7 linked regions of the Rattus norvegicus genome follow. The protein of the gene in region 6 interacts with the protein of the main gene of each other region in a pairwise test. Links are inferred from orthologs where the notes say so. Each region holds a gene or a part of one and is shown on either strand. Other genes may lie near its edges. The genes, in order: Rpia, Mageb18, Nudt14, Osgin1, Nadk, Lnx1 and Rad51d.

What was found.
Region 1: the proteins of Lnx1 (region 6) and Rpia interact in binary tests that used the Homo sapiens proteins (3 or more experiments, as listed by UniProt). The link is inferred for Rattus norvegicus from reciprocal best matches to the Homo sapiens genes LNX1 and RPIA.
Region 2: the proteins of Lnx1 (region 6) and Mageb18 interact in binary tests that used the Homo sapiens proteins (3 or more experiments, as listed by UniProt). The link is inferred for Rattus norvegicus from reciprocal best matches to the Homo sapiens genes LNX1 and MAGEB18.
Region 3: the proteins of Lnx1 (region 6) and Nudt14 interact in binary tests that used the Homo sapiens proteins (3 or more experiments, as listed by UniProt). The two-hybrid records come from large-scale screens. The link is inferred for Rattus norvegicus from reciprocal best matches to the Homo sapiens genes LNX1 and NUDT14.
Region 4: the proteins of Lnx1 (region 6) and Osgin1 interact in binary tests that used the Homo sapiens proteins (3 or more experiments, as listed by UniProt). The two-hybrid records come from large-scale screens. The link is inferred for Rattus norvegicus from reciprocal best matches to the Homo sapiens genes LNX1 and OSGIN1.
Region 5: the proteins of Lnx1 (region 6) and Nadk interact in binary tests that used the Homo sapiens proteins (3 or more experiments, as listed by UniProt). The link is inferred for Rattus norvegicus from reciprocal best matches to the Homo sapiens genes LNX1 and NADK.
Region 7: the proteins of Lnx1 (region 6) and Rad51d interact in binary tests that used the Homo sapiens proteins (3 or more experiments, as listed by UniProt). The two-hybrid records come from large-scale screens. The link is inferred for Rattus norvegicus from reciprocal best matches to the Homo sapiens genes LNX1 and RAD51D.

What each region holds. Positions count from the first base shown.
Region 1 is NC_086022.1:104,304,919-104,309,017, reverse strand, and holds the start of Rpia (ribose-5-phosphate isomerase), read left to right. Parts: upstream 1-1,299; 5' UTR 1,300-1,330; coding exon 1,331-1,594; intron 1,595-4,099. UniProt on the Homo sapiens protein: Catalyzes the reversible conversion of ribose-5-phosphate to ribulose 5-phosphate and participates in the first step of the non-oxidative branch of the pentose phosphate pathway.
Region 2 is NC_086039.1:61,453,355-61,457,564, reverse strand, and holds the start of Mageb18 (melanoma-associated antigen B18), read left to right. Parts: upstream 1-1,410; 5' UTR 1,411-2,301; intron 2,302-4,210. UniProt on the Homo sapiens protein: May enhance ubiquitin ligase activity of RING-type zinc finger-containing E3 ubiquitin-protein ligases. Proposed to act through recruitment and/or stabilization of the Ubl-conjugating enzyme (E2) at the E3:substrate complex.
Region 3 is NC_086024.1:137,835,571-137,839,691, reverse strand, and holds the start of Nudt14 (uridine diphosphate glucose pyrophosphatase NUDT14), read left to right. Parts: upstream 1-1,321; 5' UTR 1,322-1,393; coding exon 1,394-1,474; intron 1,475-4,121. UniProt on the Homo sapiens protein: Hydrolyzes UDP-glucose to glucose 1-phosphate and UMP and ADP-ribose to ribose 5-phosphate and AMP. The physiological substrate is probably UDP-glucose. Poor activity on other substrates such as ADP-glucose, CDP-glucose, GDP-glucose and GDP-mannose.
Region 4 is NC_086037.1:64,403,901-64,406,782, reverse strand, and holds part of Osgin1 (oxidative stress-induced growth inhibitor 1), read right to left. Parts: intron 2,209-2,882; 5' UTR 2,171-2,208; coding exon 2,104-2,170; intron 1,256-2,103; coding exon 1,119-1,255; intron 755-1,118; coding exon 563-754; intron 462-562; coding exon 370-461; intron 1-369. UniProt on the Homo sapiens protein: Monooxygenase catalytic activity. Involved in regulation of cytokinesis; promotes RHOA activity, probably acting locally at the midbody in late cytokinesis.
Region 5 is NC_086023.1:171,449,877-171,453,376, forward strand, and holds part of Nadk (NAD kinase), read left to right. Parts: intron 1-1,715; coding exon 1,716-1,845; intron 1,846-2,802; coding exon 2,803-2,911; intron 2,912-3,027; coding exon 3,028-3,113; intron 3,114-3,500.
Region 6 is NC_086032.1:33,867,416-33,871,370, forward strand, and holds the start of Lnx1 (E3 ubiquitin-protein ligase LNX), read left to right. Parts: upstream 1-1,155; 5' UTR 1,156-1,260; intron 1,261-3,955.
Region 7 is NC_086028.1:68,319,103-68,323,355, forward strand, and holds the start of Rad51d (DNA repair protein RAD51 homolog 4), read right to left. Parts: upstream 2,801-4,253; 5' UTR 2,680-2,800; coding exon 2,598-2,679; intron 2,327-2,597; coding exon 2,265-2,326; intron 2,076-2,264; coding exon 1,957-2,075; intron 1-1,956. UniProt on the Homo sapiens protein: Involved in the homologous recombination repair (HRR) pathway of double-stranded DNA breaks arising during DNA replication or induced by DNA-damaging agents. Bind to single-stranded DNA (ssDNA) and has DNA-dependent ATPase activity.

The sequences.
Region 1 (4,099 bases), on a different chromosome or scaffold from region 6:
TTCATCACAGCAATAATAACTCTAAGATACTACCCATGTATGGATGTGGGTTCCTCAAGAGTTTCAAAAAGTGTCTGAACAATAGTGGCACACCTGATTTTGGTGGCTACTGAAGTTACATTTGTAATGGTGGCTGAAGAACTTTCTTCTCCTTTTTTGGCAAAGGAATCTATAAAGTGGTTCCTGAATGCTTAAGTTGCAAAAATGCACTGAGACCTGTCTGTTATTGTTCCTAGGAGTTCTTGGAAGAGCCCAGCTCTTGGGGGTTTGCAGTCATGTGCCTTTTGTAGGCATGTGCTGTTAACCCCTGCACTGAGGAACGCAGGCTGATCTGTGTGAGCTCAAGGCCATCCTGGTCTAGAGTTCCAGGACAGCCAGAGTTACAAACAAAACAACAAGAACTTCCAGCCCTTTTCAATGGTGTAATCCAGCTCAGGAAAAACAGTCCAAGTTCCAGGCCAGTGAGGCTGCGGGATGAGACCAAGAATTTCCAAGTGTTCAGGCTTGGTCAGCACTAGTTTCTTCTGCTTGTAAAGGGTGGTGATAAGAATTCCTCACCCCTTACATACAAGCAAACTAAAGGTAGAGAAGGAAGCCCAACACACTGGCTGTGTTCGCTCACCCAGGCTCCATTCAGACACCTTGGCCTCTAATTCTAAGAGCAGAACAATGCCCAAGGCAGGAGCTAATGACTGAACTTGTAATCTTGGGTTTGTAAAGGTCTAACATAGACTTCAGAAGACCTGGGAGTACCAAGTGTGTATATCACAGCACTGTAAGTAGGCTGAGATGGTCACCACCAAGATGATATGATAACGGACTTCTGCAAGTTGTTCTCTGGCCTACACAAGAACACACTCATGCATACAAACACAACTTAAATAGTAAAATGTAATTAAAAGATTTATAAAGAAGCCGTTGGTAGACCCACTTGCCTGAGGACTCGCCTACAACACAGTAACGTCTTCCTTTGTTGGGCAAACAAGGTCAGGTTTTTAATAGGTCTCTCTTTCTCTTCTTTTTTTAGAACATGCATACAGCCAGAAAGGTTCTGTAAACACTTGACCCCTAGGTAGCTTCCTAGACAGCAGTTAGCCGGACCTTCCGGACAGAAATGCTGAAGTCAAGGCGGGCGATTTGCACACTAGGTCGATGGCATTATGGGACTTGTAGTCCCGATTGCAGAAGGGCTTGGGACCACTGTCGCTGCAGGACTACATTTCCCAGCAACACACATATAGCAATACGCGCCGGGCAGGTTGCGCAAGCGAGCGGGTTTCCGGAGGAGTTGGGGGTGGGGCGGCCGCAGAGGCTGGAGCGAGGCGGCGGGATGCAGCGCCCCGGGCCCTTCAGCACCCTCTACGGGCGGGTCCTGGCCCCACTGCCCGGGCGGGCCGGGGGCGCGGCCTCGGGTGGGGGCGGGAACAACTGGGGCCTCTCGGGCTCCCACGTGCAGTTGCCGGGGCGTACACAGTCGGAGACCCGCGGCGACAAGGGAGGCTCGAGCGCGGGCGGCCCGGCCCCCTCCACGATGTCCAAGGCCGAGGAGGCTAAGAAACTGGCGAGCCACACGGCAGTGGAGAACCACGTGAAGGTGGGGCAACTGGTGGCGGCGTGATGGCTTCGTGCTGCCAGCCTAGGGCACTGCCAGGGTGCGCCTGACTCCTGAAAGGGCGAGGGTTGCGAGAGAAGGGAGAGGGTGAGCCTTGTACCCGAATCCACGCTGTTCTTTCCAACCCCTGAAAGGCCTTTTAGACAGAGAATGGGTGGGTGTCAACTCTCCCCCAACTAGAGCCTTTTCTACAAAGATTTCCTGTCCGGCTGGAACTGGATGCACAATAGAGCCGGGCAGTACTCCGTTTAGAGTCTTGGTCAGGCTGTTAATGCGTGCCTCCTAATCAAGCCCATTGAAAATGGTGAGCCCCGAGGCTGCTGTTCTTCACTTCTCGCTTACCGGGAAGCCAGTGGAGAGCTGTTTTGCGAAGTGTTTTGAAATTTTACTCCAAACATGCTTTTCAGCTCCTCCTGCTGAGGAGCTTGTGTAGTCTTTACAAAGAAGCCATCAGGTTACTGTTGACAGGGCCAGATGGACACATCTGGAGGTGCTGCTCTTTAGGCGGGGTCCAGATGTTTTGCAGTTACTTAGTATGGTTGAGTCCCCATTTGTTTGTTAAGTGGCGGGTGTGGTACCTTGAGTGGACTCTTAGTGTAGGTGGGTTTGCTGTCTGGTAGCAGGTTAATTATCTTAATTGTACTTCTTCTGTTGCCCTGTGGTGAAGTTTCTCCGTCATGTTTCCTATTTCTTAGATCGGGTTACTGGAATCCATATCTCCGTTAAAGGGAATTATTTTCATTTGTTAACTCCTATTTCTTAGATCACGTTACCAGAATCCGTATCTCTGTTAAAGGGAATTCTTTTCATTTGTTAACGCAGTGCTGTACAAAGTTACTTTGCAAAGATGATGTTCTTAGAGCTTTATCTATCTCCCGGCCAAGAGTGAGGGTGGCCTGAGTGGGCGGGACCGGGTCTGATAACCTCCGGCTTGCCTGCTGAACAGAAGAACACCATTTTTGTTTCAGGCAGGGTTCTTCTGCTCTTCTGTTCTTCTGTTCTGTATAGCTCTTTGCTCATCTTAGCATAAGATTTGATACTCCACATTTAGGAGGGTTGTGGGGTATGAGCGTGAATGTAAAATGTGTAATACTGCTCTGTGTTTGGAATTCAGTGCCACAGCTGTAAAACTGGAACTACTTAGTAAAGAGGAATTTCAAAATGCCTTCACGAAGTGACTTAATAGATTGGTAAATGAAATCCATACCTTAGGAAAGCTCGTTATCTTAGGTAAACCGTTAATGTTTAGTGGTGCAAGTCTCCTTGACCTTTGCTTTATTGTTATGTACTCGATTAAAGTGAAATCTGCAAGCCTTTACCGGATGTTCTGGCCATATTCAAAGGACTACTTTCAGTTTTTTCTTGGCTTCCTAAGGAGACTAGGAGAGGACAATTCCTCTTCCTCTTTTGAAACTCAGGCTGGCTTTGAAACCCTCCCCTCCCTCTTTGTAGCAGGCTAGCATATATCAAGGCAGGAACTTGATATGTGGACTCTGCTGGTTTTGAAATCTACCAAGGTGTGTATCATCATTCAGCTTTATCCTCTTGACTCTGCCTCCCAGGGACTGGCATTATAGGTGTGTGATACACTCAGCTTCCTCTGATTACGGCTCCCAGACACTTCAGCGTGACCTATGTTCTAGTCCTCTCTGTGTTTCTCTCGCCCAACTCGCTGTGAGCTCTGGGAGGAGAGTTAACGTTATCTATACATTCAGCATTGTGTACAGTGAGAGCTGCTTAGGCAGCGTTCAGTGAGATGTGTAGAATGGGAACACTGATATGAATGGAGGTTGGAGGTTGTGGGTTTTGGTGGCCCCTTTCCTAGGCTCTCTTGAGTGTGGGGTTTCCAGTTCCCTAGCCTGCTGGTATTCATTCCATTGTGACTATTTCTGTTTCAGTGAAGATGAACTCTGAATTCTCAGTTGAATCTTTGTCACCAGGTCCAGACCTGCCTGATACTAAGTGTAGTTACCTCAGATGGGTTACTGTACACGGCTATGCTATCCTCATGGTTGTTGCTTCATCTTTGCTCTCTGTGGTGCCTGGGCTTCGATTTGAGATTGGCTTAGCCTGAGGAAACTAGTGGGCAGATAATATTAATATTATTATTAGTATTTTGGTTTTTTTGAGACAGAGTCTTACTAGGTATTCCTGACTGCCCTGGAATTCACTATGTAGAACAGGCTGGCCTCAAACTTAAAGAGATCTGCCTGCCTCTGCCTTTCTAGTGCTGGGATTAAAGGAGTGTATCATCATGCCTGGCAATTTTTGTGTTTTTAATTTGGTAGAAGCCTGTTTTACTAACATACTATTCCAAACTCACCAAATACACCAAGAGGCTTAGCCCACCGAAGCCAGTCTCATAGATTCGTGAGATTACCCTGATGTCTTGATGGCATGCTGTATAGCATTGCCTTTAGAAGGGCTACCAGCTGTTGGGCCAGTTTGCAGGCCGCATCTCACCTTTTGGCTTTCGCTAGGGCACTC
Region 2 (4,210 bases), on a different chromosome or scaffold from region 6:
ATATGTGCATCCACATGTATACAATTACGCAAACACCATACACATATACATAAAATGCCTTATATGTGCACATACTTCAATTTATGAAGATCTTATTTGGACTGTCATTTCTGTATCTTGGTAGTTACTTATAGTATTATTTTCTCAGTGTTTGTTGACCAGCATGTAGGAATAAAATTCAGGGACGTACAAAGGAACTATGGTGGAGAAAACACAAATTAGTTATTTAGAAGTATAGTGATTGAGTATATAAATAAAAAGAAACTTTCAAGTATCAAAATGGCATAATAGAACTTAGATATTTTTGTATACAGAAGATTATTGTATATGTGAACAGAGATAATTTCATTTTTGTTAATGATTTGCTGCACTATTTTCTTTGATACCTGCCTCTTGGATGGGGCTAGGATTCCCAATGCTACATTGAATAGCAGTGGCAGAAGCAGAGAACCTTATATTTTTCCTGATCTTAAAAGGAAATCCTTCAGTTTTCCCATGTTAAGTGTGATGCTAGTGATGTGCCTCTTATATGTCGCTTTTATCATGTAGATATATAACTTCTTTCTTTTTTGTTTATTCTATTACTGCAACACGATGTCGTACCTTTTTGACACGATGTCAATTTTTGTTATCATTTAGACGATTGAATAATTTTTATTTTCCATTTGGCTGATGTGATGGGTAGCACTAATTATCATGTGGGTAACGGTAGGTATATTCCAGGCATACCATTATAGCCATGGTATGTAATCTTCTTTACATACTGTCCAGTTCAGTTTGTTAGTACTATGCTGAGGATTTTTGCATGAATATTTATCAGGGATATCTACTGTGGTTGTCTCACTGTCAATGTAATGGAGGTATTCTCTAGTGGTTTTGTCCTGTAGGATTTTCTTCCTTTTAAGTCATATTTAAGCCTCTAGTTCTTTTGGGGTTGATTGTTTTCATATACTGTGTGAGATGATGATCTGTCATTGTTCTGCACAAGGATGCTTAGCTCATCTGCCACCATACTAGATAGAGTCCTTCCTCCATTGTATGTTCCTGGGATCCTTGTCAAAATCTTGTCTGCAGTATGGAGTTTTTTTTTCTGGATTGTCTATTCTCATAGCCGGCATTCTATTCACCATAAGTGACAATGACTAGGTTAGCTGATTAGATGTTTATAGCAAATATTGATCCCAGTCTTTTGCTGCCAGGAAGTTCAAGTACAGATTTACTTGAAATGGTTAAAGCCAATCACTCACAGATGATTAAAAATTTAAAGTGGGTATGTGCTCAAAGATGGTTTTGAAAATGGCAGGTAGTGGGAAATGGCCTTAAAGAAATTAAATGCTTTTAATATTGAATTTAGAATTTATTAAATTTCCCATTTTTAGTAATAGGATTTTTAATTTAATTTTTCTAGGTAATAGAATGCTGACAGTTTTGTTAATGAAATCTTTATGGATAAAAGTAAGAGGGGAATGGAAATATCTGCTAATATAAAGAAGACAATTGAACCCTGGAGAAATAAAATATCCAATGCTTATTCCTCTGAGAATAAAGGTGGGGTTTTTGGTCTGCTTAAAGAATATTTTATGGATTTATAAACAAAATGAAACTGTCTTGATAATTCATTATTGATAAATCCTTGTCCTCTTTGGCACTCTACTTTTCTTGAATATCTTTATTTTATACAACATTGGCACTCAGCTATTAGCCTAGATTTCTGGATGTTTGTCTTCTCTGGCCTTTATCCCTATCAAGTCTTATGACTTGTGTGTTCTAGGATTTTCTTTGTGTGGTCTCTCCAACTGAATAGAAAAGGGAAGGATTTCTAACCTCCATAATTTCTAACGTGATCACTTTTTCTTAATTGCTAGATCATACTTGTCTCCATCACCATCCAATTAATCTTCCCTGTGTCATCAGTCATCTTTCTCTGATGTAACTGTCCTAACGTCTCTTGTTTGCAAACCTTCCTAACGAAGCTTATGAATGGAGCTACGTGGTAGACTGTTATGTAGCAATTGAAACCTTCCCTCCTGAAAGAGGGAGGGAGGCTCATAAGACACAGGAAATAAACAAACTTACAACTTTCAAAAGGCCCCGGAACTTATAAGATTCATAAGGCCCCTTTCCAAGGTTATCTAAACAGTAACACTTGCTGGACAGAGGAGACTCTCTCACCCCCACCGGCTCAGCTGCCTGTGCGCCATGCAAGGAGCTCCAGAGATGCAGCTTTGGTGAGTCGTCGTCACCAATGCTCTAGTGGATTTTTTGATGATCATCTGGCTTTGCGACATCCATGCTGTACGGGTAAGTAACCCCCTCACTCATACTCCTATAAGTAATATCCCGACAACTGATCAACTGCTAAATTACGCTTGGATACAACTGTTTCTTTGCTGTTATTCGCCCTATCTGAGGCGAATAGACTTTTGTTCAGGGAAAGTCCCACAACACAGATTAAAATTCTTTGACCCTTGAGTCATTGAGCAATGGGGTTCTGTGTTCTCTTATGTTGCATATGGGTGAACTTTGTGAGAGTTTTCCTGAAAAAGTCAATACGAGTAATGTGAAGCTGTTTGTTTCTTGGCTTATGAGTTGAGAGACTGGCTGTTTATAATTATTGTTTCTTGGACCACTTTCTCTTTGGATACTCCCTCTTGTCACACAGTTATACAAATTGCAGGCCACTTGGAAAAGTCATGTGTATGTGTTCCAGTTGAAAGCTCCAGATGTGCTCTCAGCGTCAATTCATAGCTATGGGATTTAGCAATCTTGAAACCTCTGGGCCAATAGTTGCAGTTGATGGAGATTTGGTATGAACTATATTCTCAGCCAATATTTGACTGTAACATCCCAGTGCATGAAAGTTCAGAAAAGAACCAGCAGTGAGCCCAGTCCAATAATAATAATAATAATAATAATAATAATAATAATAATAATAATAATAATAAAAAGCAGGACATATAAAAAATGAACTAGAAGCTAGGTGTGGTGGCAGTCACCTTAAATCATAGCACTCGGTAGGCAGAGGCAGAGGCAGAGGCAGAGGCAGTTGGATCTCTGTGAGTTTGAGGCCAGCCTTGGCTACAAAATCCAGGAGTCCAGGATAATCAGGGCTTTGTAACACAGAGAAACCCTGTTTCAAAACACAAACCAATAAAAACAAAACAAAACAAAAACCCAAACAGCAAAAAGGACAAATAACACTAAACTACAATTTAACAGTGTAGTTTTAAGCTGAATTGATTTTCAGTAATAGATAACTGAAAGAATTTGGCTTAACATGTGCTCTTTGTTCTCTGTTGACCTGCTTTTAACTATTATTTTACAATTATCCTAACAGGCACTATTTTTTTTCAATTAACTTGAGTATTTCTTATATACATTTCGAGTGTTATTCCCTTTCCCGGTTTCCGGGCAAACATCCTCTCCCCCCTCCCCTTGTTTATGGATGTTCCCCTCCCCATCCTCCCCCCATTGCCGCCCTCCCCCGAACAATCTAGTTCACTGGGGGTTCAGTCTTAGCAGGACCCAGGGCTTCCCCTTCCACTGGTGCTATTACTAGGATATTCATTGCTACCTATGAGGTCAGAGTTCAGAGTCCAGGGTCAGTCCATGTATAGTCTTTAGGTAGTGGCTTAGTCCCTGGAAGCTCTGGTTGCTTGGCATTGTTGTACATATGGGGTCTCGAGCCCCTTCAAGCTCTTCCAGTTCTTTCTCTGATTCCTTCAACGGGGGTCCTATTCTCAATTCAGTGGTTTGCTGCTGGCATATGCCTCTGTGTTTGCTGTATTCTGGCTGTGTCTCTCGGGAGAGATCTACATGCGGTTCCTGTCAGCCTGCACTTCTTTGCTTCATCCATCTTGTCTAATTGGGTGGTTGTATATGTATGGGCCACATGTAGGGCAGGCTCTGAATGGGTGTTCCTTCAGTCTCTGTTTTAATTTTTGCCTCTCTCTTCCCTGCCAAGGGTATTCTTGTTCCCCTTTTAAAGAAGGAGTGAAGCATTCACATTTTGATCATCTGTCTTGAGTTTCATTTGTTCTAGGCATCTAGGGTAATTCAAGCATTTGGGCTAATAGCCACTTATCAATGAGTGCATACCATGTATGTCTTTCTGTGATTGGGTTAGCTCACTCAGGATGATATTTTCCAGTTCCAACCATTTGCCTACGAATTTCATAAAGTCATTGTTTTTGATAGCTGAGTAATATTC
Region 3 (4,121 bases), on a different chromosome or scaffold from region 6:
AGTGTGTGTGTGTGAGTGTGTGTGTGGTGTGTGTGTGAATGTGTGTGTGAATGTGTGTGTGAATGTGTGTGTGGTGTGTGAGTGTGAATGTGGAGTGTGCGTGTGTGAATGTGTGTGTGTGTGAATGTGGGGTGTGTGAGAGTGTGTGTGTGTGAGTGTGGTGTGTGAATGTGTGTGTGGTGTGTGAGTGTGTGTATGTGTGTGTGAATGTGGAGTGTGGGTGTGTGAATGTGTGTGTGTGAATGTGGGGTGTGTGTGTGTGGTGTGTGTGAGTGTGTGTGTGTGAGTGTGTTTGAGTGTGGTGTGTGTGTGAATGTGTGTGTGGTGTGTGAGTGTGAATGTGGAGTGTGCGTGTGTGAATGTGTGTGTGTGTGAATGTGGGGTGTGTGAGAGTGTGTGTGTGTGAGTGTGGTGTGTGTGTGAATGTGTGTGTGGTGTGTGAGTGTGTGTATGTGTGTGTGAATGTGGAGTGTGGGTGTGTGAACATGTGTGTGTGTGTGAATGTGGGGGTGTGTGTGGTGTGTGAGTGTGTGTGTGGTGTGTGAGTGTGTGTGTTGTGTGAGTATGTGTGTAGTGTGTGTGTGTGTGAGAGAGAGAGAATGTCTGTGGTGTGTGTGTGTGTGGTGTGTGTGGGGGTGTGGTGTGTGTGTGTGGTGTGTATGGAGGGGGACGTGTGGGGGGTTGTGTGGTGTGTGTCTGTGTGTGGTGTAGTCTTTAAGAATGGCTCTGTGAACCATGTGTCTGTCCCATATAGGGAAGTCATCTCCCGTGGAATTTGGAGTGGCCTGGAACTTTAGATGCATCTGGATTGACACTGTGATGGAGCAGGTATGGGGCCCTGACTAGCTGCTGTAAATGTGTGTAGTGCGCTAAGGAGCAACATGGCCTCTGTGAAGAACAGTCAGAGACAGGAAGTCGCACTTTCTCTCAGACAGGGTCAGGTCAGCTCTATATGGGCTGGGGCTTTCCTGGAGTCTCCCTTCACCAGCCTTTTCTCTTAAGATTTGTTCTGAGAGAAGTCTTCTTCCTATTCGCCCCTTCTGTATGCTCCAGTGGTCACCCTGACTCCCCAGACTTGGGAAGGGAGTGGGGTTGTTACTAACCCGGGCCAAGCAGACACCTGCTCAGTTCACCTACCACGGTGATCCCCTCTGATTCCTACCCGTTGGAGGCTTCATGTACCTCGAAGCCCTCCTCCACCCTACCCAGTTCGTGTCCACTTTATGTAGGGCACTTATCTGAAAGCACCTCCCTCGCGTGCAGCACTCTGCAGGTGCTACCTGGACTCTGTGGCCCGCCTTCCGGCCCGCCCCGCGCGTGAACTGGGCATGCCCAGAAGTGCGTAGACACGCCCGCCTGCTTGGATCCGCGGAAGACACTGCTCCGCGCCACCATGGAGCGCATCGAGGGGGTGGCCGTGGGTCTCTGTGCCCATTCGCCCTACCTGCGGCCTCTCACGCTGCACTACCGCCAGGTGATCCGCCCCGCTCGCATGTCTCCGCGTGCTCACCCCCAAACCCCTGCGTTGCAGGCCCGGCCCCGCCCCCGAGCTCAAGCCTCCGCCCTGAGCGGATTCTCAGAGCTTGAGCTCCGCCCTCCTGCAGTCCTGACCGCGGGTCAGTCCACCCGGAATGGCCTGGGAAGGGCATGCGAGGAGAATCTCTCTTTCCTCCAAGATTTGACTGGCCCTCCATTTCTGACCGCCTGTCGATACTTTCATGCAGTTAGACCCCTTGATCTTTGGGTATCGGGGCAGGAAGAACTCTTGGGAAACCCCACATTTGCAGAAACCCTCCTTTGCGCCTTCTTTCAAGCTCCTCCTTCAAGCCTTAACAGAAAGTATGCTGTCTGGAAGAAGCCTCCTCAGCCTTTCGTAGTTCCCAGGTGTCTCCCAGAACAACAGGGCCATACATAACTATCTCACATGGCACCGTGGGGGTACATAGTAGGTACACAGAAAACATTTGTTGAACCTACTTGCTGCCTCTTCTCTTTCCCCTTACCGTGTGGTCTTCTCTCTCCCCTACCCTGCGTAGCCCTGCCTAGCAGGCCTCTGGCACATTACCTATTTCCACTCTCTATGTGGTCTGATACACACTGTTTTCCTGACCTCATCAACGTAACCCTGCCTGGGTTTCAGCTTAGATCAAACCACCCAGGGCTTGGCATTTGTCCAGCTCTCCATCCCTCGACAGTGTTGTGGCCCCCAGCCTGAAAATCCCCTTGGCTCTGGTGTGTTTGCTGTATGGAGGTCTTTCCCCCCTACCCCTAGGTGCAGCAGAGGTAGTATAGGCTTGAGGGAGCAGTTGGATTCATTGAGGAACAAAGGGTAGAGACGAGACACGGAGGTCAGGATCCTTTTCCCTTTCACTGGCTGGTGACATGGGTGGCCACTGGGACTCTTACATACCCAGCACCTGGAGTTCTGATGGGCAGTGGATGGCCCAGGCTAGTTCACTCTCCCCCCACTTCCTGGGAAGTGCTGTGGGGTGGCTTTGCAGACTTGGCTGGCAGTCCGCCAGCACACTTAGACTGATGGCATTGGTAACCAGAGCCCCGTTGAGCAGGCAGTGGCCCCGCCATAGTCATAGCTGAATGGGCCAGGCAGCATTTCCTTGGGAGCTGAGGGACACCGGGCTGGGCTGTGTTTGCCATGGGTAGGGGGATCTGCAGCCTTTAACTGACCAAGAGCAGCAATGGCCTGCCCTATACAACATGGGTCCACTGCCACATTCTAGAACTGTCTTTCCCTTCCAAGGCCAATTTCAGCTTCTGTGGCCCTTCCCACAGTTCTGACAAAGTGTTTGACCCTGAGTCAAGAGGGTCCTTGGAAGTCACCTAGGGTGACACCTGAAGGGAAGCCGTGGGGGCAGGCAAGACAGGCAGGCTCACTGCAGCCTGGGCAGGTAGCTTTCTTTGGAGCCTGCCTGGGTGGCTGGAGATCGGGCAGGCCTGGGCTCGCCTCTTGAGGTGGTGCTTCAGCGGCCTCCTGGGCAGCCTGACCTACCCGGGACATTGGCTCTTGTCTCCCCCTGGAAACCAGACTGATGCTGCCCTCTCAGGATCTCTCTCCCTGCTGGCTCAAGTCTACCTCTCTGATTTGAGATCTCTACCTGTGAGACTCTCTCGTCTACCTTTCTCCACCTGTAGACCAACACGAGGAAGCCCTGTGGCTGTCTTCAATCTCTGTTTGTCTGTCCTCTCAAATTGTTGCCTGGCAACACACTGTCTCTGGGACCCAGGCCTCTGTCTTTTTATGCAGATTGGATGGAGCCCCGGCATCTGTGGTGGGCTAGGCAGGGCTCATGAATGACCCAGAGGTGGACTAAGCAAGTCCGCCCCACCAGCAGAGATCCTTCAGGAAGGAATGCTGGCTCCAGTCCTAGGAGACAAACTGTCTTTCCAAGTGGCATTTTGATGCTGGGGATTGTGGGGATGGTGGGATCTTTCTAACCTTGTATACAAAGCACCGTTGACGCCCTTTCTGGGTGCCCCCCTTATCTATTTCTTTTTTTTTTTCCCGTTTTTTTTTTTTTTTTCTGAAGCTGAGAACCGAACCCAGGGCCTTGCGCTTGCTAGGCAAGTGCTCTACCACTGAGCTAAATCCCCAACCCCCTTATCTATTTCTTGAGTGCTACCCTACATGCAGGGACAGCAGGACTATGGGATGTGTAAGAGATAACGCGAGCCTGAAAGAGGGCGGGGCAAGTATTTACCATCCATCTGACATGCGCAGATCCGCCGCTGCAGCGTAAGCTGTCCGGTGGCGCACGGGAGCTTCGGCAATGAGTGCGTGACTTCTGCTCTGCCCACCTGGAATCCTCCCTGCCCTGCCTAAGGGTATCTCATCTGCTTTTCCTGTGTCCTCCGAGCTCCTCCCCACACTTGGTGGCGGCACAGGCCTCTGTCCTTTGTCCTCATGAAATGCCTTTCCTGCCCTTTGCCAAAGTTTTCTGCCTTACCTTTCCCAGAACATCAGGCTATCCTGACCTCCCGGGCAATCTCCTCCACCTGCTCCAAGTCCCCATTCCTGAAGGGTGCAGGCAGGCAGTAGGCCTCCCTGCTGGGAGCTGCTACAATGGGTCTGTCTGACCCCTGTGCATCTCCATCTGTTGGTGGCA
Region 4 (2,882 bases), on a different chromosome or scaffold from region 6:
TTAACCTTTTATAAAAGCTGTAACAGAAACCTGTCTTCAGAAGCTACATTTAATATAATGTCACACTTGGGGGGTGGGGCAAGTGGCTGGCAGTGGATCACTGGGGTGGGGTATTTGCTGAGCCAGGGACACGGCCCCTTTAGGAATATTACGAAGCCCTGTAAAGGGCAGATTATGTAATTTCACCAGAAAACACTTCTCAAAAGTGCTATGAGGGAAGTGCATTTTCCTGTCACGACACAATCCTGAAACCCCCTCCTCATCTGCAGGGACAGAGTCCGTCAGAGCCAGAACCCAGAGAGGCCAGTTTTATCTGCCTGTTTATAGGGGATTCTCCTCTGCCCGTCCAGCCTCCCAGGGTCCCCTTACCTGCATTTCTTCCGCATCCAGTCCTTGACCTGCAGGTCTGGGAGACTCATCCACTGGCCTTGGCTCAAAGTCACCATGGAGCCTTCAATGGACTGCAGAGAAAGTTGTTGTCAGGCCCGGCCAGGACAGCAGCACCCCGCCCCTCCCCAAGTGTGAGGGAGGGAGAACAAGGCTACTCCAAGCCGACACTCACATGCCAGGCACCCCCGGGGAGGTTCCGTCCCAGGACAAGGTGGGGAATGGCACGGTCCTTCTGCCGCTTCCAGGAGAGCACAGAGTCTAGGCTGCCTCCAAAGTCTGTGTCAGGACGTAGGAGGGCATCAAAGAGCAGGGCCACAGGACTCTGGCTTCGGCCTTCGAGGCCTTCGGAAAGGTATTCTAGGTCCTGAAGAAGGGCACAGGTCAGTGGGATCCCCAGGGGATAGCATAGTCCCACCTTGAGTCTGAGGGAAACTGGTCACACAGAGATCTCTATGCTGAGTAGTTTTGGGGACTGTCACTATGGTTCTTCTGGGAGCCCAAGGGCCCCAGTGAATGTTCTTGGAGGAAGTCAGTCATTGAGAACCATGGGTCTAATGTGTGGTCAGACAGCTGACATGGCATTGGCGGGTCTTGGAAGACAATCCCAGTTGTTCTTTCCCTGTTTTACAGTTTGTTTTGTGGACTCCTCTGTTTTAAGGGTGGTCTTCCAGGGACCCCTGGCTTTCTGCTAGGAGAATGGCCCTCCTAGACTCAAGTGTCAGACCCACCTGATCCAAGATGGAGACCCCTGGAGCCTCGGTCAGCTTCCTCTGCAGCAGGGGGTGCGGGTGGACAGCTCCTGGTTTCACATAGGGGATGTAGCCAGAGAGCAGGTAGGATAGACAGATACCCGAGGGACCATTGCCTGCAGAGACAGGAAGGTCAGGTCTACTCAGCATGAAACATTCACCAAGCCCTGACTCTGTGACAGAGGCCATGTGTAGTAACGACCAAGAAGCAGACAAATGAACAATGGTCAAAGGTTTCCTGCGTGAAGGGTTTCTAAGTATAACCACCTCAGTGACATCAGTCAAGGAACGGGTACTGGCATTTTCTCTTTGTGCTTAGGGGAATGGGCCGGAGAGGATAAGCAGGTGTCCCATGTCTACTTGGCTGTCACACTCAGGGAGACAGGGCCTGTAGCCATGCAAGCCTGAAACTTGGGAGGCTGAGGCAGGAGGAGCTGAAGCTCAAGGCCAACTTGTACAGCATAGTGAGCCCAAGAGGAAAAGCAAAAGGTGGGTGGGTGTGTAGCTCAGGGGCAGAGTGCTTGCCTAAGCCAGGAGGGCTGTGACAAGGACTTGGAGGTGAGAGTCCATCAGCAGGATGGACTGCTTCAAGTCCTGGGTGTCTGAGTTGACCAAAGCTCCTCCTAGCCAGGATTGGAGCGTTCTGTGCCCGTCTGTCCAGCTCTCCCCAGCTTTCACTTTTAAAATGCCCGCTCGTGTGGGTCTACCTGATGCTTGCACCCTCTTCTTCAATTTGGCAGGGCTGATGACAGGAACCACGGGCCCTATCTTTGTGTTCCCTGAATGGGCACCTGGCACGGGTGGACACTGGGTAATGGTGCAAACCTTATGTGCATAGTGCTGGGCCCACAGCACTATGGCAACCGTCTAGAGGCCAGCCTTGACCTCGCTAGCCTCAGACCCAGGGGTCCCCAGAGCACCAGTGTATCCCCCACCCTTGCCGGGGGTTGGGGGAGACACTTACCAATGATAACTACTGGGAGGGGATCGGAGCTGCTGGCCCTGAGGGAGTCATGCCTCCAGGAGCTCATAGCTGGGGTTGGTGTTCAGCCTGGGGTTGGCAGCTGACCTGGAGAACAGAGCAAAGAGGAAGCCCCTTTAGTCAGGCTGGGTGATGTCACTCACACAGATTCTCAGCTCAGCTACTCGGTGGAGCTCCAGCTGTCTGCGAACCAGGAGCCACCGACTCTACTGAGCCTCATGCCATCCCCCCAATCCCCCCAACACCCCCTCTTCATCTTAGGAGAGGACTCCCTGCCTGGTACAGGAGGGATGGGCAAGGCAAGACTTCTTTGGTAGCTGCAGGGCCACTTCCCCACTTCCTCACTGGTGACACTGGCTGGTTCCCAGACCCGAGCCTCAGTAAGCCATACAAGTAGGAGAAGGTTCTGGAACACCTGCTAGGGTGGATTTACTGCCAGGATGGCCCTGCCTGACCTCCGGCTCAGGGCAGGGCTGGACCTTGGACTTGGGGAGACTCTGACAGCTGGATTTGGGAAAAATGCCAGCAAACCTGGGTTTTGGAGTTCCTGCGCCCCCTAATGGCCACAATGCCTAATTGCTCTAAGCACCGGAGCTGCGTTCTCAGGCTCACCTAGTGGTACAGCACACTGGTCTGAGGTCACATCTGCAGAACTCTTACGGAGGAGGCAGAATTCTGGGGGTTGTATGTGAACTCTCTAGTTTGGAAAAGTGGGTAGCCAGTGATGAACCTTTATGCAAATACCTCACAGGCCAACAAAA
Region 5 (3,500 bases), on a different chromosome or scaffold from region 6:
TGACACAACAGGAAGGTGAGCTGGTTTGTGGCCACAGGGAGGGCTTGACCTGCATATAAAATGCTGGTGACACATGCTGAGCCCTACTGAGCTTTGGGGCTGAAAGAGTCATGGGCTGGGCCTGAGCCATAACCCACACATGGGCAGGATAGGCTGCTGGGTACAGGGTGTGGGCTTGGAGCTCTGGTGGGGCAGAGGTCTGTGATCCACCCACATTCTCTGGAACCCAGAGCCTGGCAAGTTCAGGGAGTGATCTCCTTTCACCTGCAGCCCTTTCACCTGCAGGTGGCCTGAGGCCGCCTCTTGTGGGCGGGCCTGCCTTTTCCATGCACCCAGTTCTCTTTCCTGGGCCTGGACACTGCCCTGCCAGGGGCCTGCTAGGCTAGGGGCCTGGCCCTGCCTTAAGAACAGGGAGTTGAGACTGGCCCTCTTTCCTCTTAAGAGTTAACCTTGTGTTTTTCATTTTTAAACCAGATGATGAGGCAAAAGGGCCATGTAGTCAGAAGGGAGTCTCTGTTTTTGTTTATTTGATTTTCATAGTTTAGAGAACACTGCTATAGGACCTTGACAAGTCTTTTACATCTTGCTTTCAGTTTTGAGGATACAAAAACTAAACTCAGTGTAATACATAGCTAGGAGCATGGTGGCCAGGCAGGGCTGTGTGTGTCTGCTAGAGAGGGAACACCGCAATGCTGGGGATATGCCTGCTATCTCCTAGAAGGTGGAGAGCGAGCGCCTCAGGAGTCGTGAGCACTACAGGCAGGTGGTGAGGTTCAGAGAGGCAGCTATGAGCGGCCTCTCCCCTCCCAGAAATGCCAGGAACAGGTGAGTGCTTTGATCACTCGTGACCTCTACTTTTAATAGTGTCATAATTTTGAAGGTTGGTTATGGGTTCTCACAGACTGTTAGAACACATTGTATAATTGGGGAGATTGTGTTGGACAGGAAAAAAGGTTCTTCAGAAATGAAGATTTACTGGGCTAGGCATGGTACCAGGTCACATCTTTCATCCCAGCACTCAGGAGGCAAAGGCAGGCAAATCTCTATGAATTTGAGACTAGCCTGGTCTATATAATGAATTCTAAGCCAGTCAAGGCCACATAATGAGAACCTCTCGAAAAAAATTAATAATTATTATTAATCTTAATACTTATGTTGATTTTTAATTAATAAGTAAGGCTCAGCTAAGTTTATACAGTGGCAGAGAGAAGCCATACACCCTCCAGGTACATCAAAGGAAACACATGTTTTGAAGGGTTCTGGGACTGGAAATAGTCCACAGTAGACCCCAGGACAGAGTCCTCAAACCAACTGTTGTAGGTTCTGTGAAGAACAGATGCCCTCTGTGGGCTGACGGAGCCTGGGCTTCCCTCTGTTGCCATCTTTGTTCCCACCATAACACACATGATCTGACCTGTTGAAGGTTGCCAAGCAGGGTGCCCAAGGGGATGTGGCCAAAGCCATGTGGACAGTGGCTGGGCAGGGTGGGTCTTCAGGGTCTACTAGTAGCTAAGGACAGATGCTCTGGAACCCTGGTGTTCCCAGTAAGTGGCTGCAGACTGGCTGGCAGCCATCCCTGGTGGGAACCATTGCTGATTCTATGCATACAGTTGGCAATGCATTTTTACTTGTTTCTGGTTTTTGGCTCTTTTTATTTTTCCATATTCCTCAAGGAAAAGACAACTGCTGGTATGAGCTCTCTTCTCTCCCCAAAGGCACATCCAGGACCCTGCAAGCCAACGGTTGACATGGAACAAGTCTCCAAAGAGTGTGCTTGTTATCAAAAAGATCCGAGATGCCAGCTTACTGCAGCCCTTCAAGGAGCTCTGCATATACCTCATGGAGGTAAGGCAAGCAGGATAGGGTCTACTAGGCTCTAGGGTTGATGCATCCTGTTCTGGCACTGGGAAGAGACATGGCCAGGGTGGCAGAACCCAGGACTTGACAGGCCTTTTACTTAGCTGTCGGAAGCATTCTAAAAAGTACTTGCCAGCCTGTAGTGCTAGCCTGTAGTGCTAGCCTGTAGTGCCAGCCTGGAGTGCCAGCCTGGAGTGCTAGCCTGGAGTGCTAGGGGCTGGGAAACCCTGGTGGAGGAGCTGCATCTGGCAAGAGCCCTATACTGTGTCACGTGTTCACAAAGAACTTGCCCTCCTGACCTCAGACCCTCCAACACACTACTTTCTGAGTCCTGTTGCAGCACTAAACCCTCACCGTGATCCTTTTGATGTTGCCAATAACACATCTCCCCTGTCTGGGTAAGTTTTAAGAAAGAGAGGGTTATTTTAGCCTGTGATTCTGAAGATGCAAGGTCCAGGTGCCAAAACTGATGACAGCCATCTTCCCTGCAGAGCCCCCAGGCACAGGACAGCCTTTGTTCTTAAATATGTGTGCAGATACCTTCAGGCCTTTCCTTCTCCCCATAAAACCACAAGAGTGCAGTGGTGTGGCTCTACCCTGATGGCTTAACTCCTAATCACCCCCCAGAGGTGCCACCTCTGGACATTGAAGACTAAAGTGGCACCTCAAAATCATGTTGCACTTCAGTAGATGACTTTGGGAACTCCCTCAAAACCAAGAGCCACTGGGGTTAGAAAGCACCTGTTTTGGAAGAGGTCTCTATGACACCCTGAGCCGCAGAGTTCCTGACTGTACTGTGAGGGGCTGAGCAGCATGGGAATGACTTGCTAGCCAAGAAAACATCTTTCCACCTGGTCCCAAAGTGGGAAAGCCAGCATGACCTGGACTGCACTGGTGAGGGCCTCATGGGCAATGCAGGGGTTCCCATGCATTCTTTGCTTCCAGGAAAACAACATGATCGTGTATGTGGAAAAGAAAGTTCTGGAAGACCCTGCTATAGTGGGTGATGAAAACTTTGGACCAGTGAAGAAGAAGTTCTGCACTTTCCGTGAAGGTGTGCTGACTTGAGCCCTCTCAGCTGGCAGAAGCCATTAGGATTCTGCCCTGTTGGTATCTGCACACTTGGGCACTAAGGGTTTGTGCGACAACAGTTCTGTGTTTGTCTTGTAGATTATGATGACATTTCCAACCAGATAGACTTCATCATATGCCTTGGAGGAGATGGTACCTTGCTCTATGCCTCCTCACTTTTCCAGGTAAGGCTATGCTTGGGGGTGTTAAGGTAGTTTTGAGTCCAGTGTGAGGAGCTGCTTTCAGTGTAAGTACCCTGCTTCCTCCTCATGCAGCTTCACACCAGAAACCACAAACAAGGTCCTTAGTGTTCTTACTCAAAGGCAGCATCTTCACAGAGATCACCCGGGACCATCGGAAACACACACACCTCATACTTTATACTTTACCTTCGATTCGTAACAACAGCAAAATTACAGTTATGAAGTAGCAACGAAAATAATGTTAAGGTTGGGGGTCAGCACAGCATGAGGAGCTGTAGAAAAGGGTCACAGCGTTAGGAAGGCTGAGAGCCACGGACTCTAAGGACATGGGAATTCTTTTTAGTCCAATTTTTAGCAATAGGGCAGGTT
Region 6 (3,955 bases):
TAGAACAGGTAAAGCTTACAGTTTTGAGATCAGAAGGGGGAAGGTGTTTTTCAGCAGGTGTTTTCTTCCTTAAGGGACAAAAGTGTGGCTGGACCAACCTAGGAGAGAGAACTCCCCAGTGTCCTCAGGTAGCACATTCCGGAGAGTGAATAAGTCTGCGAGGGAGGCTGGCTGCGGGCCACAGGCGCACAGCAATTCAACAGGCTGATGGGACAAGATGCCATAGGCCTTAACCAGCAGGCAGGAATCCTCTTAGCTGTCACTCAAGTGCCAGCTGAGTCCTGCCATTAGCCTCTCTTTCCTGCTGGAAAAGCTGAAGCAAGCGTGACTTATCCAGGGTCACACACCAAGCTTGGGACCAAAATAACTCTGACTCCTCTTCCCTAGCTCTCACAGCAGACAACAGCGCCTTAGTAAGGCGCTATCATTCTAACCTGAATCATTTAAAGTACCCCTAATTGCAGGCCTACTGTGGACTGTAACCACCAGGTGACAGACAGACCGAGAGGTAGGAATGACTGAAGTTTTACCAATGGCCAAATCTATTATTAATATAATACACTGGGGACTGCGAGGGAGTTTGGGAAATGATGCTGACAGGCATCGAACTTAGATTTTTAAGGCTTGTCATGTCACCTCCAGTTTTGTTATAATATTGGAACAGAAAAAAAAAAACACTAGGAACTCAAAGGGATGCGATTCAGAAAGGCATTAGGGGGGTAAATCCCAGATATAGCTAAGTCTTCTCAACCTTTTTCTTTTTTTGCACCTACAAAAATCCCTGTGTTTAAACTTCCCTTTTAATTCTGGTGTTGGCAGCTGTGTGGGCCTGTGAGAGCCCTCGGAAAGAATATCAGGCAGACGAAAAGGGCCTGGGAAACAGTCAGGCATACCCATTCAGATCTGTACACGGGGCTAGACACGTGCTCTGCTCAGGAAGGAAAGTAAATTCCGACCAGCAAATTGCTCTAACTGATTCATTTGTCCTCTGAGAGACGCCACCTACCTGCTCCAAGGTATTCAGGTAATTGACAGGGGGCGGGGCCTCCTGGGCTGTTTTAGTCCCTAAAGTCTCAGCCAGACTTCCGTGATGTCACAGATTTCCTGTTCTGAGCCAACCAATGCCCTCCTTCTTCCTCCAGCCACCTGTACACCGAAGTTGAGACCAGTCACAGCTCAGGCAGCCCTAGAAGCTTCTGGCACAGGGATGGAGGCGGGCTGGTGACTGCTGCTTTGAAAGCCCCAGACATCTTTGAACAGGTGAGCAGGAACTATTTTTTCCTCTCTTGGTTTTTAGACCCCTGACCCAGAAGGGATCTAAATGAGGAATCTGAATGAAAATTACAAAAGAAAAAAGAAAAAGAAAGAGAGAGAGAGAGAGAGAGAGAGAGAGAGAGCGAGCTCACTGAATGGCTCAGTCCAGAGTAACACTCTGAGAGTAAAGATGTCTGTAACAGTCTTATTTGTGACCAGCAGTGTTGTCTCGGCCAGATATTTAATCATTTTTGTTTCCTGATTACTAATCCAGCCTCTGCTTGTTGTGAAGTTGATTTGATTCTTTTTAAAACCCCAGAGAAAAGTGAGATGAGATGCTCTTTGAAAGTTAGTTCAAATGTGCAGACCAGTCCAGCCTGTTTTGTGTGTGTGTGTGTGTGTGTGTGGTGGGGGTGGGGGTGCTGGGGACACTCACAAAATTCAGATTGTCTTTTTTTTTTCTTGCCTTCTGCATTCATCTCATCTGAAAAGCTGTAATACTTCCCTAGGTTTTGTTGTTGTTTACAACAGAAAGTCAGTACTAAAGCTGATAAATTCTGGCTCCCTGTTTATAAGTTCTCTCTCTCTCTCTCTCTCTCTCTCTCTCTCTCTCTCTCTCTCTCTCAAAAGCCTTCAGTTTCCTTTACTTGTGGAAAACATTTAGCAGTCTGGATTAGAACTCTGTTTACCTACTTTCAGGCCCGACAGGCTGCCTGCTGACCTTTGGTTAAAGTAAAGATTACCCTTCAAGGCCACAAGAATGTAGCCCCAGGTCTGGGTTTGAAACTCTTCTGTTGTTTCTACCTTGCTCTTAATATAGTAAATATATGGAGGAGACTGTTCTGCCAGGACCTGACTATAAAAGTAATTGTACCTCAAGGACCCATATTCGTTTTTCTAATCCTGATCGTGTAACCTGTTCTCAATGGGCAGGCACCCCCACCAGCTAATATGATTAACAAGAGCAGAGGAATAAATCCCCAGTCCATCTCCTTATCAACTTATCTGGGAAACTCGGGGAGAGAAATAAATGAACGAGTCTTTTCATTTCATAGGCCTTCGTTAGTTGCATTAGTTAAGTTAGCAGATGGCTTTGTAAGGAAATCATCTACTAGGAGTTAAGCCCATATACAGCCCTCTAGAAGTTAAAAGAACCTGCCAACTGTCCAAGAGTGTATGAACGGAAACAACTAAAAAGTATCGCCCTTGAACGGCTGCTTCTTTCTTCCTGGTAAGCATCTGCCTCCTGCTTGTTGCCAGTTTCTTTCTGATTCTTGGGAAGCTCATAGTCTCTTCTCTAGTTGACCTTTGTGCCTTATATTGTCCTCTAAGCTCCTGTGTTTGCAGAGTAACTGTTGTTGATGCCTTAGTAACATTCTCGGTTGATTCAGAGGTTTGTGAGCAAAGTGAGAAAAAGATTCCTCATAGCCTGGAGTTTTGTAGGTGTAAATTTGTCCTTGATGTTCCAAACCTCTGCAAACTTTCACACACACCCCTCTTTTATACCTGGTTAATTAGTCATTTTTACAACAATGGACCTATGATTAAATAACAAACTATTTTGTCATTGTCTCTAACTGCTTAGAAAAATATTATATATAATATATATTATATATGTATATATATAAAATCCCCCCCCCAATTCAAGAAAGAGAAAAAAGGGGACAGAAACCAGAGTCCCAGTGTCTAGCATAGGGGTCGAGGCAGCTCGTTGGATAACGTGCATGTGTCCTTGAGAAGTTGCTGTGACATCTCCACTAATTTGGGTGTATACAAAGTGCTAAAGGAAACAATATGTATTTCCTTAGCAAATTACTGGACTTCTCTGAACCGCCATTCCTTTCTCAGTAGGACGAGAGATAAGTACCATGTGCTATAATGTGGTTCTCTGAGTATAGGTGAGCTTGGAGTCAGGGACAAATAAAAGACAAGTTCCTCTCTGCTGGAAGAAATTTCCTGGGAGCTTAGAGGACTTGTGTGAGCCCATGTAGCTCTCCTGTGGCTGCAATGGTTCAGGACCCGGCTCTTATTACTGTAATTAATTGTCAGTAATTAACCCCACTGCTAACAGTTTGGAGAAACACAACAGTCCAGAGGGAGGAGAATGAACGGGCTGTCATTCCCTGAGCCAGGCAGCGTGTGCCTGCCAGCCCCCTTGGCCCTTGGTGAAGCAAACTCTGGAGTGGTCTCTCTTCCTTCTTGTGATCTCTTGACACATCCACAAAGTGTGAGTTCTTAAAGGCTGTCAGGAGAGGTCATCGTTGTTTGGAGGGCAGGGAGCCCAGACTGTTTTAATCATGCTACTACCCTGAGTGGCCTTGGGTACTTGGTCCCCTCTAATCTTGTAGGTAAACATCTTCCACCTCAGACTCCATGAGCACTTGGCCAAGCCAGTGTGAGAGGTGACAGATAATTTGCAACCTGTACCATTCTGTGGAGGGGGAAGGCTCGTGGGTCCTTTGGATAAGATCCACACATTTAAGTAGAGATTTTTTTAAAGATTGATCTATTTATTATATATTAGCCCACAGCAGAAAAGGGCTTCAGATCTCATTACAGATGGTTGTGAGCTACCATATGGTTGCTGGGATTTGAACTCAGGACCTCTGGAAGAGCAGTCAGTGCTCTTAACCACTGAACCATCTCTCCAGCCCCCAAGTAGAATATGTTGAACCTGTCAGTGACCTTGAATCATTGCATC
Region 7 (4,253 bases), on a different chromosome or scaffold from region 6:
ATAGGTCTAATGCGTGCTAATCGCAAGTTTCACTAACTTGGCCTACAGCCTCCAAAGCTTCAGAGTTACATCTACTAGGTAGGCACAACACACTGGAGCAAAGTCTAAAATCTAGCAAACCACCTTTAAAAAAAAAAAGATTTATTTACATATGTATGTGAACACAGTGTCATTCTCTTCAGACATACCAGAAGAGGGTATTGGATCTCATTACAGATGGTTGTGAGCCACCATCATGCGTTTGCTGGGAATTGAACTCAGGAAATTCTGGCAAAGCAGTCAGTGCTCTTAACCACTGAACCAACTCTCCATCCCAGCAAACCACCACCTTTGACTCTTCAAATCTACACCCGATCTCACAGTAAGTCTCTTCTCACGTCTCTCCTTCAACATATCTTCCACGGTTACAAACCCTGGATCAGACTTACACACCCCAAACCAGCAGCACCAGATCCCTGCTTGGCCTCTCCTGTGTCCTGCACAGCCATGCCCCATAGCTTACAAATGCTTTCACAGTGGCCTCTCACCTCCAAGTAGACCTCAGAACAGTCCGCTGGAATTAAGGTAAGACACTGAGCCCCACTCCTACAAAGAGCATCTGCATGTGTCTGGCACCCAGTAGGCACTCAGCCAACGCTTGATGGATTACAAACACAGACCCCCAACCAATGAAAGCAAGCACCAGACTGTGCGGACCTTGCCAAGAGAATGTGTTATGGAAACAAGGGCCAGACCAATCCGAAGACCTTTGTGATGGCAGTGTTATTCATCAAACTCTGCACAAACAGGCAGGGAGAGAGGTCAGACACGCTTGGCCAGAAAATGCCAGTTGTCTTCCAACTCTTTCCCAACCGGAACAACAGGGCACAATGTAACTGCTCATTTCAGAGAGCCATACCCATTCCCCACTGCTGCCTCATATGGCAAAGGCAACAAGGTTCTGGATTAGATAACCCTGGGCTCACCTCTCCTGGCCCCTTTCTTAGGCTAACCACAAGGGAGGTCAATCATTTCTAACATCCATAACCTAGGGTGGCAGTTTCTCAACCAGTGGGTCACAATCCCTTTGAGGATTGTTCAACCCTTTCACAGGGGTGGCAGATCTTGCTTATTAGATATTTACACTATGATTTACAACAGTAGCAAAAATTACAGTTAGGAAGTAGCAAGGCAATAATTTTATGGTTGGGGGTCATCACAACATGAGGAACTGGATTACAGGGTCACAGCATTAGGAAGGTTGAAAACCACTGGCCTAGGGTCAGCGCAAAAGTGCTAACTCCCAGGAACTCAATTCTGCCCAGGTCTCACTTGCTTTATTCTGGGCTCTTTATCACGGGCTCTACTGAATAATGGGATATTAATGACATCTTTTGTTATAGGACAGTGGCTTTTCCCTGGGGAAAGTTAGCTTGTAGGAGATACTGAGTCACATCTGGAGACAGTTTTTGATTGTTGTAACTGGGGGCATCTTGCCATCTGGTGCCTAGAGAGTAGGGATGCTGCTAAATGTCTCTCAATGCACAGGACGCTCTATCTCAGCAAATAATTAGTTGCCCCTCAAGTATCAATAGTGTTGAGGCTAAGAAACTCTATAGTTGGGCTGGAGAGATGGCTCAGAGGTTAAGAGCACTGTCTGCTTTTCCAGAGGTCCTGAGTTCAATTCCCAGCAACCACATGGTGGCTCACTACCATCTATAGAGTGATCTGATGCCCTCTTCTGGTGTGTCTGAAGACAGCAACAGTGTACTCACATACACGAAATAAATAAAATCTTAAAAAAAAAAAAAAAAAAAAAAGAATAGAAGCCCTATAGTTTTACTCTTAAGGAAAAAAACCTCAGGAGTCTGCATGCCTGCAGATTCCTCTACAGCTCCAGGTGGCCCTCACTGGCCCCGTCCTCTGTAGCCTCAGCACGAGGCTCTGCTTTCACCTTGTCCAGGTTCGCATACAAACCTTCCGATGCCGGTGGACAGGATGGCAGTGGAAGTCTTCAGTTCCTCATAGAGATCTGCACCATTTAAGGGGAAAGCCGAGAACTGCGCCAGCAACACTCTCCTCAGGGCAACCAGGGCCTGCCAATAGGGCGGACACTCAGGTTCCAGATCGATCAGACTGCCCCTAAGAGCAGCTGCTCCGCAGAGCACTTCAGGTCTAGAGTCACACACACCCCCCTTTAACAATTCCTAGGAACTCCGATCCTGCAGAGTGGGGAGCAGCTCTGGAAGACCGGTTGGAGTGGAGTTTGCCAATCGCGAGCTCACCTTGTAGGACAGACCACACTTCTGGGCTACCTCCTCCAAGTCAGCAGCTGCCAGGTCTGCCACTGGAAAGAGAGCAGCAAGTGCAACTGATTCGCAACCGGAATGGCTTAGCCTTGCCTTGCTTGCCTTTTCCTCAGTTATGAAATGGGATTAAGGTCTTATTCTACTTCCAATCTGCACGCAGGCCCTAATGCAGGACCCGGCAAGGGGCCCAGCACTCAGTAAAATCCTCTACCTCGGCTCCCGCGAAGCAGCTTCCCCAGTAACCCTCCGGTTAGAGCAAAAAGCCCCATACGTGTATCGAGACCCCCGGGGTTGTGCCCATGAGGTCACCTGTTTTGATCTTTCGGCCCCTCAGAAGCTGGACGATCTCCTCGGTGAGGCCCGGGCACAGCCCTGCCCTGAGCATGCCCATATTCCCTGCAAACCCAGGACGCCCTGGGGGCTGTCTGTCACGTGGGCGCCCGCCGAGTCCCCCACTCTAGGCATTCCTCAGTTCCACTTAAGGAAAAGGTCCTCCCGTGCTAGCGAGGGACGAGGGGGCGGGAAAAGGATGCAGGTCGTGGTGAGGGACAGGAACCCTTTCCAACTCCTCGGACTCCGGCGCCCTGGGCCCGCCCCCTCCCGGCCGAGGCTTCCGGGTTCCGCGTCTGGAGCGTCTTTTGTGGGCCAGGCCTGCAGCGCCATCTGCTGACCACGAGGGCAAACGCGGCAGCCCCATGCAAGCTGCAGAGCTGCGCTGGTCACTCACTGCTAACACACATGCTAACACACACACACACACACACACACACACACACACACACACACGCACACGCATAGACACAGACACAGATACACACACACATACACACCCTTCCAATGAGTGTCTCTTGTGTAACAGCCTCTATTTGCAAAGTTAGGGGACACTCTCACTCTACTAATTCAATACTTATTGAGGGAAGCAACCCTGACTTCTAGTGGCATTCATGTTAGGGAGTCAATGAAAAGGAACCAATTCAGATTACAGATTGTATGATCGAGATGAGATCCAGCGAGCACCTGTACCTCTGTATTTTCCAAATTTATTGTTTTATCTTATGTATGTAGATGTTGTGCCTGAGTGATGTCTATACACTCCTTGCAACCCTGGTGCCCAAGGCAGCCAGAAGAGGGGGTCAGATTCCCCTGGACTGGAATTACAGACGGTTGTAAGCCACCATATGGGTGCTGGTCTTCTGGAAGAGCAGTCTGTGCTCTTAACCACTTAACCATTTCTCTAGCCCCATATTTCCCAAAGGTTTTAATGGGAGTAGGGGAATGCTTGAGTATATAAAATATATTAAATATAGTTTACTATTTTGAATTTTTTTTTACCACATCTAGTGGAAGAAATAAAGTTTTGCGAACCCACGAGTGAGGTTCTATTTCTGTCTGTACTTTGTATTTTGCGGCTCAGTAAGATTGTTATTGTATGAGTTACACAGCTAGGAAGCACAGAACTGAATCTCCAGTCCACATCCAGCTGCAAAGCCTGTGTTATTCAACTTTCTCCATCCTCGGAAGTTGTGGGTGTGCTTTCTAAAACCTGTACTCTTCTAGCAGAGATGTATGGCTCATTTTTAGAAATATCCCCCCATGTTCACCATTGTTTCTCAATCTTTCAAGGTGTTTGGAACCCTAGCTCCCCAAACCAGCTACTCTGAGCTTTTACCGTGCCTGTTCCTGGCTGCAGTGTAGGGTCTGCTGCTTAGATGCCAGGATAAAGACCCTTAGAAACATCAACAGGCAAAGGCTTCCTTTTCAAAGTCTGTGTTGGCTCAGGCCAAGTGGTGCTGGCTTTTTTCACTAGTCTGCTACCCCTTCCTGGACAGCTCTAAGGGGGCACAGGCCTTGAGCCTTTTGAAGTCTTCAGAAGATGACCAAGTAGCTGTGGCCACAGATGTGGCCTAGAGGAGGCCATTTGTGCTGGAAGGGGCCATCAAGTCTGTTTCTTGGCTGAACCCAACC